Saccharomyces cerevisiae S288C: one gene and its partners. The protein of the gene in region 3 binds, or shares a complex with, the protein of the main gene of each other region. Each region holds a gene or a part of one and is shown on either strand. Other genes may lie near its edges. A codon is read from its position in the direction of its gene.

What was found.
Region 1: YCG1 (region 3) and YCS4 share a complex: the UniProt entries of both Saccharomyces cerevisiae proteins name them as parts of the condensin complex.
Region 2: the proteins of YCG1 (region 3) and BRN1 are in contact, whole or in part, in a cryo-EM structure (PDB 6YVD), measured with the Saccharomyces cerevisiae proteins. Residues at the interface, in NP_010612.2 of Saccharomyces cerevisiae: Gln215 (codon at 2,974), Arg245 (codon at 2,884), Asp246 (codon at 2,881), Val247 (codon at 2,878), Gln661 (codon at 1,636), Glu741 (codon at 1,396), Gln745 (codon at 1,384), Phe749 (codon at 1,372); in NP_009455.3 of Saccharomyces cerevisiae: His495 (codon at 1,283), Tyr496 (codon at 1,280), Leu497 (codon at 1,277), Leu498 (codon at 1,274), Asp500 (codon at 1,268), Phe504 (codon at 1,256), Phe513 (codon at 1,229).

The regions. Positions count from the first base shown.
Region 1 is NC_001144.5:683,172-689,227, reverse strand, and holds YCS4 (condensin subunit YCS4), read left to right. Parts: upstream 1-2,025; coding exon 2,026-5,556; downstream 5,557-6,056. Other genes in the region: protein phosphatase regulator PIG1, read left to right, coding at 1-145; CMG1 (Cmg1p), read right to left, coding at 5,667-6,056. UniProt on the Saccharomyces cerevisiae protein: Regulatory subunit of the condensin complex, a complex required for conversion of interphase chromatin into mitotic-like condense chromosomes.
Region 2 is NC_001134.8:39,178-43,595, reverse strand, and holds BRN1 (condensin subunit BRN1), read right to left. Parts: upstream 2,766-4,418; coding exon 501-2,765; downstream 1-500. Other genes in the region: MRX3 (Mrx3p), read right to left, coding at 1-319; BNA4 (kynurenine 3-monooxygenase), read right to left, coding at 3,069-4,418. UniProt on the Saccharomyces cerevisiae protein: Regulatory subunit of the condensin complex, a complex required for conversion of interphase chromatin into mitotic-like condense chromosomes.
Region 3 is NC_001136.10:1,115,369-1,120,741, reverse strand, and holds YCG1 (condensin subunit YCG1), read right to left. Parts: upstream 3,617-5,373; coding exon 509-3,616; downstream 1-508. Other genes in the region: YSP2 (Ysp2p), read left to right, coding at 1-133; small subunit rRNA maturation protein UTP4, read left to right, coding at 3,979-5,373. UniProt on the Saccharomyces cerevisiae protein: Regulatory subunit of the condensin complex, a complex required for conversion of interphase chromatin into mitotic-like condense chromosomes.

The sequences.
Region 1 (6,056 bases), on a different chromosome or scaffold from region 3:
TCCCTTGAATACCACAACCTCATTACCATTTTTTCCAGGTGATAATATGAGTGACAGCTCAGGAGAATATGAGGAGAGAACCTCTCTTAGCCCTAATAAAATTCACATTTTTCGTGATTATTTTTATAAGTCGCCGTCACCCTAACCATCGCCCATATTACAATAATAACAAAATCCTTGGAATGAAGAGAATAAAATTTTAATTAAAATTAATAAAATAGTTAATCATATTCTTTTGCCTTCATAGATTAGATATGAAATATTTTGCTCACATAAGTTAATATTGCTTTTGCATTTTTGTTTCTGACTTTAGTTTCTCATTAGTCGAAATGACTTTAGTTCTTTAGAAATATTTTAAATTCAGTGGGGGATTTTCGTTCTTTATTGGTGCAAATAACGATTAGTTTTTCATTTCACGATATTTAGCTGCAGTTGATAGGTGATATATCTGCTTTAACTCTTACCTTTACAGTTTGTGATGAAATGATAGGTTTAAACAGTCGTTTAAAGAGTTGTATAACAAAAGGACTCTTAACAATCGAAGTTTTTTTAACATGTTAACACCATCTTTAGTAAACGTTATATTATTGAGTATGTGAAATATACTAGAAGTTCTCCTCGAGAATATACGAATCAATAAAAGAGAAACAATATTTCTCCACAAAATCTTATAATTATTACACCTTTCGTTTTATATGTTTCATTGTCCTATTACATTATCAGTCCTTGCATTTCAGCTTCCATTATATTTGATGACTGTTTCCCAATCTTTATGCCATCTTGTTACACCGCATATGATAATAGATTCTAGTAACATGAATACTACTAATAAATGATATTTTAGAGTTTCATTTCAACAAATATACTATGTGAAACAGTAGTCAAATTTAATATGAAACCGAACATGCGAGAATTGAGGATTAATAGGATGTGAAACATATAAAATGGAAGAAAGATAATTACAAAATTTTGTGGAGAAATGTTGTTTCCATGTTATTGAGTCTTATATCCTTGAGGAGAAACTTCTAGTATATTGTGTATACATAATATTATATTGCCTTAAGCAAAATGGAATCCCAACAATTATCAAATTATTCACCAATTGATCATACACAATAGTTGATTATCATTTCAACATTATAACCTTATACAGAGAGTAATATACTAATGGATGAATACTACCAGTAGAATAAGACATAAACAAATATGATTAATGTCACTTTTTGCTTTTTTGCCGTCATTCTTTTTTATTTTTGTATAATTGGTGGTGTAACGTGGATTAAACATAAATAATAGGTTTCGTGGTCTAGTCGGTTATGGCATCTGCTTAACACGCAGAACGTCCCCAGTTCGATCCTGGGCGAAATCATTTTTTATACCTGTTATATTTCATAGAAATGTAGTAGTATTGCGAGATGAATAAAATGTCTGCTATTCAATAGTAAGGGCTTCTTTCCCCCACCTCTTTTGTTTGATTTTAAAATTATTATCAAGTAACGCGTTGTTTTCTTGTCGCGAGCCTTTTATTTACAACGAGTAAGGGTCAGGATATCTATGGAGTTTCTAGCTTGATCGTTATCACAAACTTTACTACTAAATGATAATTGTTGGTATGAACAGTATATATATATATATATATACATGTTCTGATCTTGAAAAAAAAATAAATAAAAAATGTTATTGATTGCAAGAATTTGGAAAGCAATTCATATGAGAAATTAAAATAACCAATTCCAGATTCTTTTTTTTTTTTTTCACTTTTCGAATTAAGTATCTTAAATACTGCACTTGTATATTTATATTCTTACTGTTGTAAAAAGAAAGACTAATGGCCTTTGTCAATTGCACTTTGGGTAAATTGGAAAGCAATAATATGAAAATTAAACGCATCGCGAAAATCTTGCGACCATTTAGTAAACAAAGAAAATAACCTGTCACTGACCAAAAAAAAGAAAGGTAAAGGAAGCAGCAGTAACAATATCTTTATCCTTTGATAGGTGGTAACTGACTTCGTTACTTTATGAGATGTCCGGCTTTAGCCTTTCCGAGTATCTGACCAAGTTCCAAACAACAGATCGAGAATCATATCCTCGCTTGCAGGACCCATCCAGAGAACTGAATGTTATCATAGACCAATTGGCCGTTTCACCCGAACAAATAGATGCTAGTCCAGATTCACTAGAAGCATTAATAGATCTTTGCCATGACTTCCCGCACTTAACACCGAAATTACAAACTCAACTAAGCTATTTGATAAGTTCATCTCTGTCGAATCTGTCAAAAGATATTAAGGCTAATCTCTCATCAAATGTTAACTTTACTGAAATTGGTGGCCTGATACCGCAGTGGAAAAGGCATTTAGAAGAGTATGGCTACCTTATTCAGGTACTTTTGACGTTTTTACAAGATGAGTTACATAAGGTCTCCTCGCAGTCTACCAATCTAAACCGTTCTGCCAAAAACAGTAAGAATGATAGTGCAAACGTCGAGCTGTTTAAAAGAGACTGTAATCAAATGGAAAACTTGCTTGAATCTATAACAAAGCTACTGGAGATTAACTTATCTAAGATATTTCAGACAACTCCTGAAAAGGATTTGTTTATTGGTTTGTTCACAAGACCATTATTTGTGTTATTAGAGATTGAACCTGTGACGAAGGTATCATCACTAAAGATGTTTATTCAAAGGATTTTGGCTATGTGTGTTAAAAATCACGGTCAAAGTTCAAGTATACAAAGTTCATTGATGACAAATTTAACTTATTTTCTTCATTTGTCGGTTTTTAATGCAGAATTACTAAAACTATTGAATGATGAATATAACTATCCACAACTAACAGAAGATATCTTGAAAGAAATCAGCACCAGGGTATTTAACGCAAAGGATACCACAGGCCCAAAGGCAATATCAAATTTTTTGATTAAATTATCAGAGCTATCACCAGGAATAATGCTTCGACAGATGAATCTTGTCATCACCTTACTCAACAATAGTTCTATAACATTGAGATGTTCCGTTGTAGAAGCATGTGGAAATATTGTGGCTGAATTGGCTCAAGACCCACAAACTATGGAACATTATAAACAACAAATAGCCGTACTTATTGAGTTACTAGAAGAAAGATTCCAGGATTCAAATCCCTACGTTAGAACGAAGGCGATACAAGGGTGTTCAAAGATCTGCGATTTGAGTTCGAAATTTAACAAAAGCAAAGCTAAATTTACTTCGTTGGCAGTACGATCATTGCAGGACCGCTCCTCTTTAGTTCGTAGGAACTCAGTAAAGTTACTTTCAAAATTATTGCTAAAACATCCTTTTAAGGCCATACATGGTAGCCAATTGAGGCTGAGTGAATGGGAAGAATATCTCAAAGGATCTGAATCACAGCTAAATTCCACTTTAAAGAAAGTAGAGTCACAAGAAACTCTGAATGACACGATTGAAAGGTCTTTGATTGAAGAAGAGGTAGAACAAGATGAAGGTCAATGTAGGACCGAGTTAGAAGGTTCTTTCAATAAGAGCGCAGAACTTTCTAGAATAGAAAATGAGGTAGAGAATATAAATGCAACAAATACCAGTGTTCTCATGAAGCTAAAGTTAATGATTGTTTACTATAAAGATGCCATTAGTTTCATTAAAGAGATACACAAGAGTATTGAATTGATATCTAATTTGCTGTTTTCTAAGAACAGAAACGAAGTTTTAGAATCAATGGACTTCCTAGTTTTAGCAGACGCTTTTGACATTGAGTTAAGCGAATTTGGTATAAAAAAAATGCTGCATTTGGTTTGGATGAAGGGCACAAACGATGAAGGAACGAGTATATCAGTACATTTGATAGAATGTTATAAGCAGCTATTTTTAACCGCGCCAGATAGTTGCAATATGCAGGAGAAGGCGGCACATATTGCCAAAAATTTAATTAATCTAAGCATCGGCGCATCTATTGCAGACTTGGCCTCTTTGGAACAGCTATTAGGAATGATGTATGAACAAAAATTGATTGATCAACATGTCATTAATATCCTTTGGGCTATTTACAATTCTGCATCGAAGGCCAGTATGCAGAAAGAACAAAATGTGAACAACCGTGACTCCGAAAAAGGGTTTTCTAAGGAACAAATTCATGGTTCTATTATTATTTTAGGAATGTTATCGTTAGCCGATAACGAAATAGCATTAAAAGGACTGGAGTCACTTTTAAACATTGGACTTGGTGCCGTTGGTTTAAAAGATCTGACCCTTTGTCGGTATTCTTGTTTAGCGTTAGAGAGAATGGTTCCCAAGAGAAGCACTATTATTACCAAGGCAATAAATCAAGAGCTTGAAGATGTTGCAGTGAAAAAGTTGTATGCCATAATTATCAACTATACCAAGGATAATGAATATTATCCTATGTGCGAACAAGCGCTTAGTGCACTGTTTACAATCTCTTCTAAGCCCGATATACTAGCTACAGATCTGATTAGAGAAAAGACAATGATGACATTTGGTAAACCTGAAGAGGAAGACTCTATTTTGTCGTTAGAACAATCATCTAGAGTTGTTTCTCTCAGTCAATTATTATTCATTGTAGGACAAGTGGCAATTAAAACACTTGTCTATCTAGAGAAATGTGAGGCAGAATTCAAGAAAAGAAAGATCGAGGCAGAAACTCGGAACGGTAAAGTAAAAAACCAAGGTGCAGATGTAACTAACACCACACAAGATAACGGTGGTGATAAAGAGCTAGAAATGATAGGAGGTACTAATGAGGACGATTTCACGGATGCTATTCAATTTGTAAAAGAGAATGAATTACTATTTGGAGAAAAATCTATATTAGGGAAGTTTTGCCCAATTGTAGAAGAGATTGTTTCTAATTCAAGCAGGTTTAGCGATCCAATGCTTCAAAGAACGGCAACCTTATGTCTAGAAAAACTAATGTGTTTATCATCAAAATATTGTGAAAAGAGCCTGCCGCTATTAATCACAGTAATGGAAAAATCTCCTGATCCTACTATTCGCTCAAATGCTGTCTTAGGACTAGGTGACATGGCAGTATGCTTCAACAACTTAGTAGACGAAAACACAGATTATTTGTATCGCCGTTTGCATGATGAAAACTTAATGGTACAAAGAACATGTTTAATGACAGTTACCTTCTTGATTTTAGCTGGACAGGTTAAGGTTAAAGGACAATTAGGAGAAATGGCCAAATGCCTAGACAATCCAGACCAGGGAATAAGTGATATGTGCAGATTATTTTTCACCGAGTTAGCATCCAAGGACAACGCCATTTATAATGGATTCATCGATATCTTTAGTAATTTATCGTCAGATGATTTATTGGGTAAGGAGAGTTTCAAGAAAATCATCAAATTTCTGTTAACTTTTATCGATAAGGAACGGCACCAAAAGCAATTAAACGAGAAATTAGTTGGAAGACTGAGAAAGTGCGAGACCCAAAAGCAATGGGATGATATTGCATTCGTACTAAACAATCTACCATACAAAAATGAAGACGTCACTGCATTATTGGAGCAAGGTTTCAAGGTTGTATCCGCAAAAGAATAATCGAACTGACGTTTACCCGTTTCTTCCGTTTTATATTATATGTTATTATATAAATAAAAGCTGTTCATTTCTTTCTTCTTGAAATATGACTTTACCTATCTCGATAAAATTCATTTGTGGTCGTCTTCATTCACTCCTGGGCAATGCTCGTAGAGATCACCTTCATCCTTATACTTGATTCCGCAAAAAAAACAGTAGTACTTCTCGGACCTCAGGAATATATTCAATTTTGTTATTCTTTTTTCAATGCTCAATTCTTCTAATTCAGCAAGTTCTGTGTCTTTTGTAATGCGACTACCGATAATTGAAGTATCACAATCTATTAATGTAGAAGGACGTCCAAACTTTTCACCTTTTATTGCAGGCGAAGCCTCCAAACTTTCATTTACCATTGGTATCATATTATTCTTATCTTCATTATCATTGTTACTGTGATTATTTAGGTCATTTTTTGCTACTTCCTCATTTAGTTGCATAACGTAAGATCTCCAAAGTACGTT
Region 2 (4,418 bases), on a different chromosome or scaffold from region 3:
CTACATGATATTCCCTATGCCCGCTTGGTATTTTCTCACTGAATAAGACATGGTGCATCTTCTCATCCTGGGCCAACTTGTTGTAAACCTCGCTTTTCTCGATTTGAGCGAGGATGTCAACCCTCTGCAGCTCCATAGGTTGGCGGCTCTTGGTCGCACTAATCAACTCCGCTGGCGTTTGCGGATCATTCAATGATAGAACACCGGCATCATCGGGCCACGCCTTTACAAACGCACCAACTCCTAATGTAAAACCTGCCGTAGGCAAAATTACTGCCCTGTTGACTAATTTAAATAGAAATGGAATAGTTCTGGACATATTGGAACTCACCCTCGATCTATCCTGTCATTTGGTCATTGTCTATAAAAATAAATACCTTGTTTTATATCCACTTTTCGAAGCGGTCCCCTTTCGGCGATAAAGGATTTCGTAAGCCCGAAGGCTTTAAGAAACTTTGCAGCACAAAAAAAAAAAAAAAAAAAAAAAAAAAGATCATCAACTATGACGCTGCCTGTGTTGTCGCTAGATCCTCATAATTCACTATCAAGTCATTATAGTTTTCGGTATGAGTTATCTGCAACCCATGCTCATTGGCTAAGTGTAGAAGGCATATAAAACAAAAGCTTGTTGAAATGTCCTTTAGTGTATCATCCGAATACATTTTACTTATACCCTGAATGATATCAGAAAACTTGAGCTCCTTTGTTGATTCATCTTCTGTGTGGGTTTCACTGTCATTAGAGCTTTGTTCTCTATTTTTCCTACTGTCATGTTCTTGTATCAAATTGTTGATCGATCTCCATACGTTTTTCTTTAATCTTCTTACGTCAACTTTTTTCGAAACTCTTGAATAAGTAACTTTATTTTCTCGAATGGGGAACTTATGATCTTCGTCATCCTGTAAATCAAGTTTCACACTGGCCTCCTCGTTATCATCTGTTCCTTCGAAAGCTTGGTTGAAGTCAACACCGTCCATGTCATCTTCAAACGGATTATCGAGCGCTCCACCCACCACATCACCAACCTCTTTAGACTGCTCCTTTTCTTTTTCCTCTTGTTCTTTCCTTTCGTAATTATCCGCCCAAAAGTGCTCATCTGCAATAGTAGGAATGTCGTTATTTGAATGGTTGGCAGAAACTGTGCTTTTTTCAAAAAGCCCCGAACTAACGTCGCCTCTGGTATGCTTCCTATGACTGAACAGACTCATTTTCTGCCCCGGTTTAATGAACAATCTTGTTATTCTATCAGTGGAAAAATGGAAGTCATCCGGCAGTAAATAATGTGTGTCGTTCTTTCTGTTCTTAATCGGCATGTCAATCTTTGTCCTTCCTTTTGAGGCAAAGACTTTGTCTTCAAAACTATCATCCGTTTTGAAGAAATCAATTTCCAGAACCTTTTTTTGTTTATGCTTCTTCTTCGTATCCATCGATTTGTCGTCCGTTGTGTTTTTGTCAGTAGTATCTCCTATAGTAGTTCGCGTTTCTTCCAACAGGTCGGATTCTTTATTCACTAAGTTTGCTTTCTTAAAATTTCGTACTTTCCAATGTTCTCTCCCTCTCCAGTTTCTATTTAGATTTTCGTCAAAGTATGCCATCAAATCTTTTTCGAATATACTTCCTGTGGTACTGTTGACATTATCATCATCTTGTTCATCATGTGATGTATTGTCATGATTTTCATCTGGATAGCACAGCTCCTGTTGCATGCCCATATCAAAGCCATCGCTATCATCTTCTGCATTATCTGGGACAGCTGCTTGCAATTCTTCTTCAGTTAAGAAGTTATCAAATCTGTTGTTAACATTTTCGATAAAGTCTTTCGCTTGATTAATATCTTCGACAACGTTCCTTAGTTGCTCAATCGATCCTGAAATTTCACACACCGCAATTTGATCAAATTTTATAAAATCCATACCAAGAGATAAAATCTCATCTTCCATGGAAGGTGCACTAATAACGGAATCATTTACGGTTGAGTCATTACGAGTACTTATCAATGACTGGCTAGGTTCATTTTCGTCATCTACTAAACTATCTCTTTCAATTAATTCTTCTTCTTTCCTTTGAAGTTTACCTTGCCCTACGTTTTGTGTATCCTTAATTGATGCATCGAAAATGACTCTTGCAGTGTTGTCTATGTTTAATGTGTTCAACAATAAACTCTTGGCGCCACCTTCATCGAAATCAACCAAGGCCTTTTTGAATAATGGATCAATTATTAATTCCTGGTCTAGCTCTTTCATCTTGATCGTTTCGAACTCCACCAATGTTGTTTCTAAAACTCTGTTGTACACTCTCCGCCTAGTGTTATTCACATCAGGATCATTAGATATAGGCATACCAGTTAAGGGATCAATCTCTATATTTGCTTCGTCACTGTCACCTCCAAGCCCTTCACCATTTCCCCCGTTACTGTCATCTCCGTTAGATGCCCCATTCGTCTTTCTTTGTGCCAACCCGCTCAATAACTTACCTGTTTCCGTTGTCACTGAATCAACTCTCGAAGAGTAAATCTTAATACACCCATCCAAGGTTGCAGATGCTTTCTGAAAATTGATGTTATTCTCGCCATCTTTCAAAACGTCCAAGTCATAAAAATAGTCGATCAATGCGAAATTCCAACTATTTCGGGAATTGATTTTATTATCTGTAGCCATTTTGATCCATTCTTCAAAATTTGCCATCATGGTGGATCTATTGGTAAAGAGATTATATTCTACTCTTTCATCGTCATCGTTATTTTCATACCTTAGTTGTGTAGTCATCTTATATAACTACCTGCTGGTTTTTTTTGCTCCAAAAAGTCCACTAAGATGATTTTTTGGTGCAATAAATAGAGTATTTAACTAGCCAATATAAAAAGTTCAACCATATGGATATTATCTTGACAATACTTCACTAAAATGTAAACAAAGAAAGCGCGAACAGAGCCGTTTACCGTTTCGCGTGATCAACATCACATAAAATAATTAGTGTATTATATATATATATATATATATATATATGTATATATCACTTATTTTAATAATCCTCTCCTAGCGTACACGGATGGCAAGAATAAACTGGCTTCAGGAACGTTCTCTTGTCAAAAATTTGAAAAGCTTGTAACCGCCAATAGATAACATACCGAGTGTCAGAGATTCTAAGAATTTCAAGATACGTGTTTGCTTTCCAGCCCTTTCTAAAGCTCTAGAATACGAGATATCGGATCTGAAAGATATCATTGTATACAAAGGTATCCACTTATCCTTCATTATAATACTAAAGAGAGCATCTAGCTTTTTCCTTAATAAAAACCGCTTGGATGTAACGTCATGTGACATTTCTTTATAGTTCCTTTTTGCCAGCTCAGTAATAGAAACTAGGTCCTTATGTCTTGTTTGAGTGTACTCAGTAAAGGCTCTTGAACGATCTCCTGAATGCTTTTTCAATAGCGCCATAAGAATTCTCACATCTTCAAATCCGCAATTCATACCTTGGCCGTAAAATGGAACCATTGCATGGGCAGCGTCGCCGAGTAGGATGGCCTTTCCGCCTGGTACATCGTATGGCTTACAGTTTACACAGACAAGACTTTCCTTTGGATAAGTGATAAACCTTTTGACAGCATCGTCCAAATCCATAATATTAATAATATCGGGAAAGTTCTCGATTAAGAATTCCCTCACACGTGACTTGGAAGTTATCAGATCTGATATTTGATCTTTAGAACCGAAAAAGGTTGAAGTGAACGAGCCGTCACTGTTGGCGAGCGCAATTAACATGAATTTATGACGAGGCCAAATGTGCAAATGGTCAGGAGCTATTGCAAAATTTCCGCCATAGTTTGGCTTGAATTCCTCAGTAGGCGGGATGTAAAGTTCAATGTAACGTAAATTCATATATTCTTGTGAAAAATCCATCTCAACTTTACGTTGCATTTGCGATCTCGTCGCAGAGTATGCTCCGTCACAACCTATGACAAAATCATACTTTTCAGTATGTGGGGTTTTCAAATCTTCCCCAATGGCAAAATGACAGATTTGTTTATCATCTGTCCATTCGATTTTGACTAATTTGTGACCGAACTTCAGTTCTGTTGTAGATTTTTCTAATTCGTCCAAAAGGCTATTATTTAATACAGATCTATTGATAGAATTAATAGCTTCTCCATGCAAGCCATACAATTGTGATTCCTGTCTGCCTTTCAAGTCATGAATCATCCTGCCTTTCATGGGAATCATATCTTGCAGAATATGTTCACAAGCATCCGGATCTATTGATTTCAGAGCATCAATGCCACGAGCAGAAATAGCCAAATTAATGGATTTCAAATTTTTATTTTTGGTGGTGTCCAATCGAGGATCTTGTCTAAAATCATATAGTGTGACATTGTAGCCTTCTTTGGAGAATGCCAAAGCTGCAAGGCAGCCTACTAA
Region 3 (5,373 bases):
CGTAAATGGAGTTAGTGATCATAAAATACAGCAGCTAGTTGAATCTATAAAAATCACCGAATTGCAGCTGCAAGAAATGAAAGAATTATTGGCCCAAACGGATAACACGTCGGCTACTAACCAATTACTTTGATAAAATAACATTTTTCGTTCTAATATAGTCAAGTAGGAAAATTCTACTCGACTTTATTTTGTTCTTTTGATCTTATTTCTTTTACTTTAATTATATATAGGATATTTTCTTAGGATAATTGTAATAAAATGCATTAATAGTTTTATATGTCCATTTCTGGTGCATTACTGGACATAATTTCAGTTCCTTTCACCAAAGAATTTATAGCCTTGGAATATTTCCATAATTTGTCCCACCGGGTAATGTGCGTAATGCAATAACATATAGCATCTATATCTGGTAAGCGTAGAAGAATTAACAAACCTAAGAATAAAATACAAATATGTTTACAACCAAAAAATCAACTTAAATAGATGAAGAGCTCGCATATCAATTTTAACAGACCTCGCTGAAAGACTCTGAATCCTTATCTTCTTCATCTATGGACATTGCATCTGATTTCTCGTCAGGTAAAACAAAACTTACATTTTTTGCTACAGTTGACGTGTCTTGAATACTCATGTTTTCCAGGTTTTTGGATGTGTCAATTTGCTCCGCTTCTGATCTCGTTCTTTTCCTTGAGTTACTTTGCTCTGTTGTATTGTCAACTGCCGAAATATTAACAGTTGTTTTAGTCAATTCTGTGTTATTTCCATCAGTTATATCAGCAGCGTGTTCTATGGTGTCATTTGAAGATTTATTGAATGAATTCCCCAAAATAGACGAGTATTGGTCATTCGCAGTGTTGTTCTCATCTTTTGTCTGAGTTTCTGACCTTTCATTGATCTCTTCAATCAGCGAATTCAAATTATTCCTTAGCTTGTCCAGAGCATTTTTGCTAACATTGTCTAAATTATCATTTTCTGCAATATCGTCAGAATACTCAAGAAGTTCTTTCAAAGTAGAATAATCTTGTTCAGAAGAAAGAAATATAGCGTTTATATTAGTGATGATCATCTTCTTTATTTCTTTCTTCTCAATTTGAGCGTATATTTTGAGCACATCGATCAAGAATGTAAGCTGCACTGTATCTTTTTTTGTTGAACCTGTCTGGTTAACTAAGTTACGTGGATCAGTCCAAAATAGCAACTGTTGAAATATTATGTTAGGCTTTAGCATAGCTTCACGGTCTACCTCAGGTATTACAGAGCTCTGTAAATCGTCCCAAAGAACACATAGTCTTAAGAGTATGTCCGCAGCCGTCCTAGACATACGTTGTTGATGAGCAGGATGTGAAAAACAATAGACTGGAATGCAGAAGGCAAATGCCTGTACCAGCGCTTCGTTTGAGGAATTTATCGGCGAAAAATATGACAAAACCAACGTTTCAAACAAATCATCATCAGTGAACACGTCTGCCAAAAATAGTTTGCATAAACCCTCCGCTGCTATCACCTGACATTCCGGTAAACCGTTATTCTTTAAAACCTTGTAAAATATTTTGTGCAACGAGATTGAGTCAACTTTGCCTTCTCCGTCTACCACAGTGTTCCCATGTACGGAAAAAATATCTACAATGACTTGTAACGCAATATACTTTAATGATGCATTACCTTTCGAAACGCACATACCTAAGATGTACATGTTATCAATAGCCAACTTCACATCCAAGAGACAACATAAACCAAGGTTCTTGACACCAAGCTCCCTAATATTTGGCGCGGTATTTCTAACCGCTGGTGTGATCAAAGTGTCCATCAACGACGCAATTAAAATGTTTTCTGTTAACGGTGTGTTAACTAGTTCTAGCATATATGATGACCTTGTAAGACAGAGAACAATTGTTGCTGAGGACGCTTCCTTTTCGGGTGGGAGATTATTTATTATGTCACTCTCAGATACGTTGCCGTTTCCCTGCACTAAGTTTTCTACAGCAGAATGGAAGGATGAAATATTGTCGTCTTCTTCATCCTCGTTAACTTCGTCATTATGTGTGCCGTTTTCGTCCTCTTCATCGACGGAAGTCTCATTTCTGCGATTAATCTTCTTGCTTTTTATTTTCTCTTCTTGTTCTTGTTTTTCAATATCGTCGTCTCTAATATCATTAATGATTTCTATTGCCATTGTTACAAAATCTTTTTCATTTATGGACAGACTTTTCATTACACGAATACCAATTTTAATAAGAGGTTCGGAGAGTGTAGTTAAGGCCAGCATATTTCGTACCACTGTAAGCATCGATCTCCTTCCAACCTCATCGCTATAATCATACCTTTCGGCGGCAATCGATAGTTGCTCAATAATAAACTCTAAAGTGTTATAATCAAAATGCGACTGAGAGTCATTAGAAATGTCGTTGTGATGATATCTGAGAAGAATATAATGGTTTAAATGCTCGGATAATTTTGAGGCTTCTGGAAAGTTTTCTTCCAGCATTTCTGTTATATTATTATCCAAACAGTACAAATAAATAGCCCGAAAGAGGAAGGCAATTTCTACGGTAAAGTCTTTCCAAATACTTTCAGGAAATTTGATTTTAGATAATATATCTGGCCTTGATTGAAAAAGTGCTTCTATAGCCTTAACACACACTGAGGATCTTGAGACATCCAATTTTTCTAGTAATTCTATCAAATCGCCATCCAGAGCATTTAACCAATCATGAGCAATGAGTCTCTTACACGCATTTCTCACTGATAATTCCCTATCTTCTAAACCCCACTCAATCAATTGATCAAAAATATGCGGCTCAATATCATCGAAACACTTTCTTCCCATTGATTTCAAAATTCTCGAATACACGAGCCTTCTATTAACGATGTTTACATCTCTAGCCCTCTCCAAGATATACGGTCTAGTATTATTATCATTGATCAAATTCAGCATTGCAGCCCTCCGTACTTCAGCTGACGGATCGTTCTGGATAGAAGCAACTAGAGTTCTCGTAGCTTCAAAATTTTCTTCATTATCAGAAAGCTCAGTTAAATGTTCAGTTTGCTCTTCATCCTGAAATTTAGTTAAACAAAACACAGCCTGTATCCTAACCGTTGGTTCTCTATCATAAATCCTCTTATTTAAAGACAATATTAATAAATTGAAAAGTGATTCATCGATTTCCCCTATATTATCCATTATAACGGCTAATAACTGTAAAACTCTAAATCTGACGTTCTTGTCAGGGCTTTCCACACCACGCAAAACATGTCTTATGAACTGATCGACGAACCTTGAGAATATCCCTTCTTCATCATTCGTGAGCTTATAGTTTTGTTTTTTGGCCAATATCAACTCCCTTTCTAAAGAAGCTATAAATGCAGCTACTAACTTTACTATCCTGTCTCCGATAATCTCATTCTTTTTCAGAGGAAGGATCTTAGTAACTAATTTATCGAACCAAAAGTTAAAAGCATCTTCATAGCCTTGCTCAACAGCCTTTGACTGAATTTTCTTCAAAACTGCTATATGCTTCCTGTGTCCTGCATAAGAACCCTGTGCCTTTTGAAATACTTCAGCAACTGAGTTAAAGATTTTCGTATTAATGTCAATACCATCAGGATCTTGCATGATGGGCGCGGCCTGTTAACTTCTTTGTCTTATCCAAGGCTGTAGGCATTACTGAAGTGTTTTTGTTTGATCTTCAAAGAGCTAAAAAGGTAAACAAACACGAAGGCTCTACCCTTTCATATGCGGTGCACGGATTTTAAAAGTCGCAATAACTCAAGAATACGATAGATGCAATAAATCAGAGGTAAAGTGCTTTAGGCTAATACTATGAGCAATTCAGTATAACCTGCATTATCTCCTTGTTTTCCTTTGTATCCCCCATGATTTTTTTTTCTTGTTATTCCTCTTGATACCATATTAGGCAGGATTTTTTTCAAAAAACCAAATGAAAAATTTTCAGACTGACAAGAAAAAAGCTACGAATGAGCTCATCGCTACTTTCAGTTTTAAAAGAAAAGTCAAGAAGCCTGAAAATACGAAACAAACCGGTGAAGATGACCAGTCAGGAAAGGATGATAGTGCATAGATGCAGATTTGTGGATTTCACTCCTGCCACAATCACATCTCTAGCATTTTCACATAAATCAAATATAAATAAGTTAACTCCGTCCGATTTGAGATTAGCTATTGGTAGATCTAATGGTAACATAGAAATCTGGAATCCTAGAAACAATTGGTTTCAGGAAATGGTTATCGAAGGTGGCAAAGACAGATCAATTGAAGGCCTTTGCTGGAGCAACGTTAACGGCGAGTCTCTAAGGCTATTTTCTATTGGCGGCTCGACTGTGGTAACAGAATGGGATTTAGCAACAGGTTTACCATTAAGAAACTATGATTGCAATTCAGGTGTGATATGGTCTATTTCCATCAACGATTCACAAGACAAGCTGTCTGTGGGTTGCGATAATGGGACGGTGGTCCTCATAGATATCTCTGGCGGGCCTGGTGTCTTGGAACACGATACTATTTTGATGAGACAAGAAGCCAGAGTATTGACTTTGGCTTGGAAAAAGGATGACTTCGTGATTGGTGGTTGTTCTGATGGTAGAATAAGGATTTGGTCTGCACAAAAAAATGACGAAAACATGGGTCGTCTATTACACACTATGAAGGTCGACAAGGCCAAAAAAGAATCAACTCTAGTTTGGTCAGTTATATATTTACCAAGAACTGATCAGATTGCCTCTGGTGATTCTACAGGCTCCATTAAATTCTGGGATTTCCAGTTTGCCACGCTAAACCAGTCATTTAAGGCGCACGATGCAGACGTACTGTGTCTAACTACCGATACTGATAATAATTATGTTTTTAGTGCTGGTGTGGACAGAAAAATCTTTCAATTTTCTCAAAACACTAACAAATCTCAAAAGAACAACAGATGGGTAAATTCTTCTAATAGGTTGCTTCATGGAAACGACATTAGAGCAATATGTGCATACCAATCTAAAGGTGCAGATTTTCTAGTTTCAGGAGGTGTTGAAAAAACACTAGTCATCAACTCACTTACTTCTTTTTCTAATGGAAACTACAGGAAGATGCCAACTGTCGAACCTTATTCAAAGAATGTTTTAGTTAACAAAGAGCAACGCCTTGTTGTTTCATGGAGCGAATCTACTGTTAAGATATGGACAATGGGAACCGATTCTAGTACAGAACAGAATTATAAGCTAGTTTGCAAGTTAACTTTAAAAGATGACCAGAATATCTCAACTTGTTCTTTATCACCTGATGGACAAGTTTTAGTCGTAGGGAGGCCCTCTACCACTAAAGTTTTTCATTTACAGCCCGTAGGTAATAAATTGAAAGTGACTAAACTA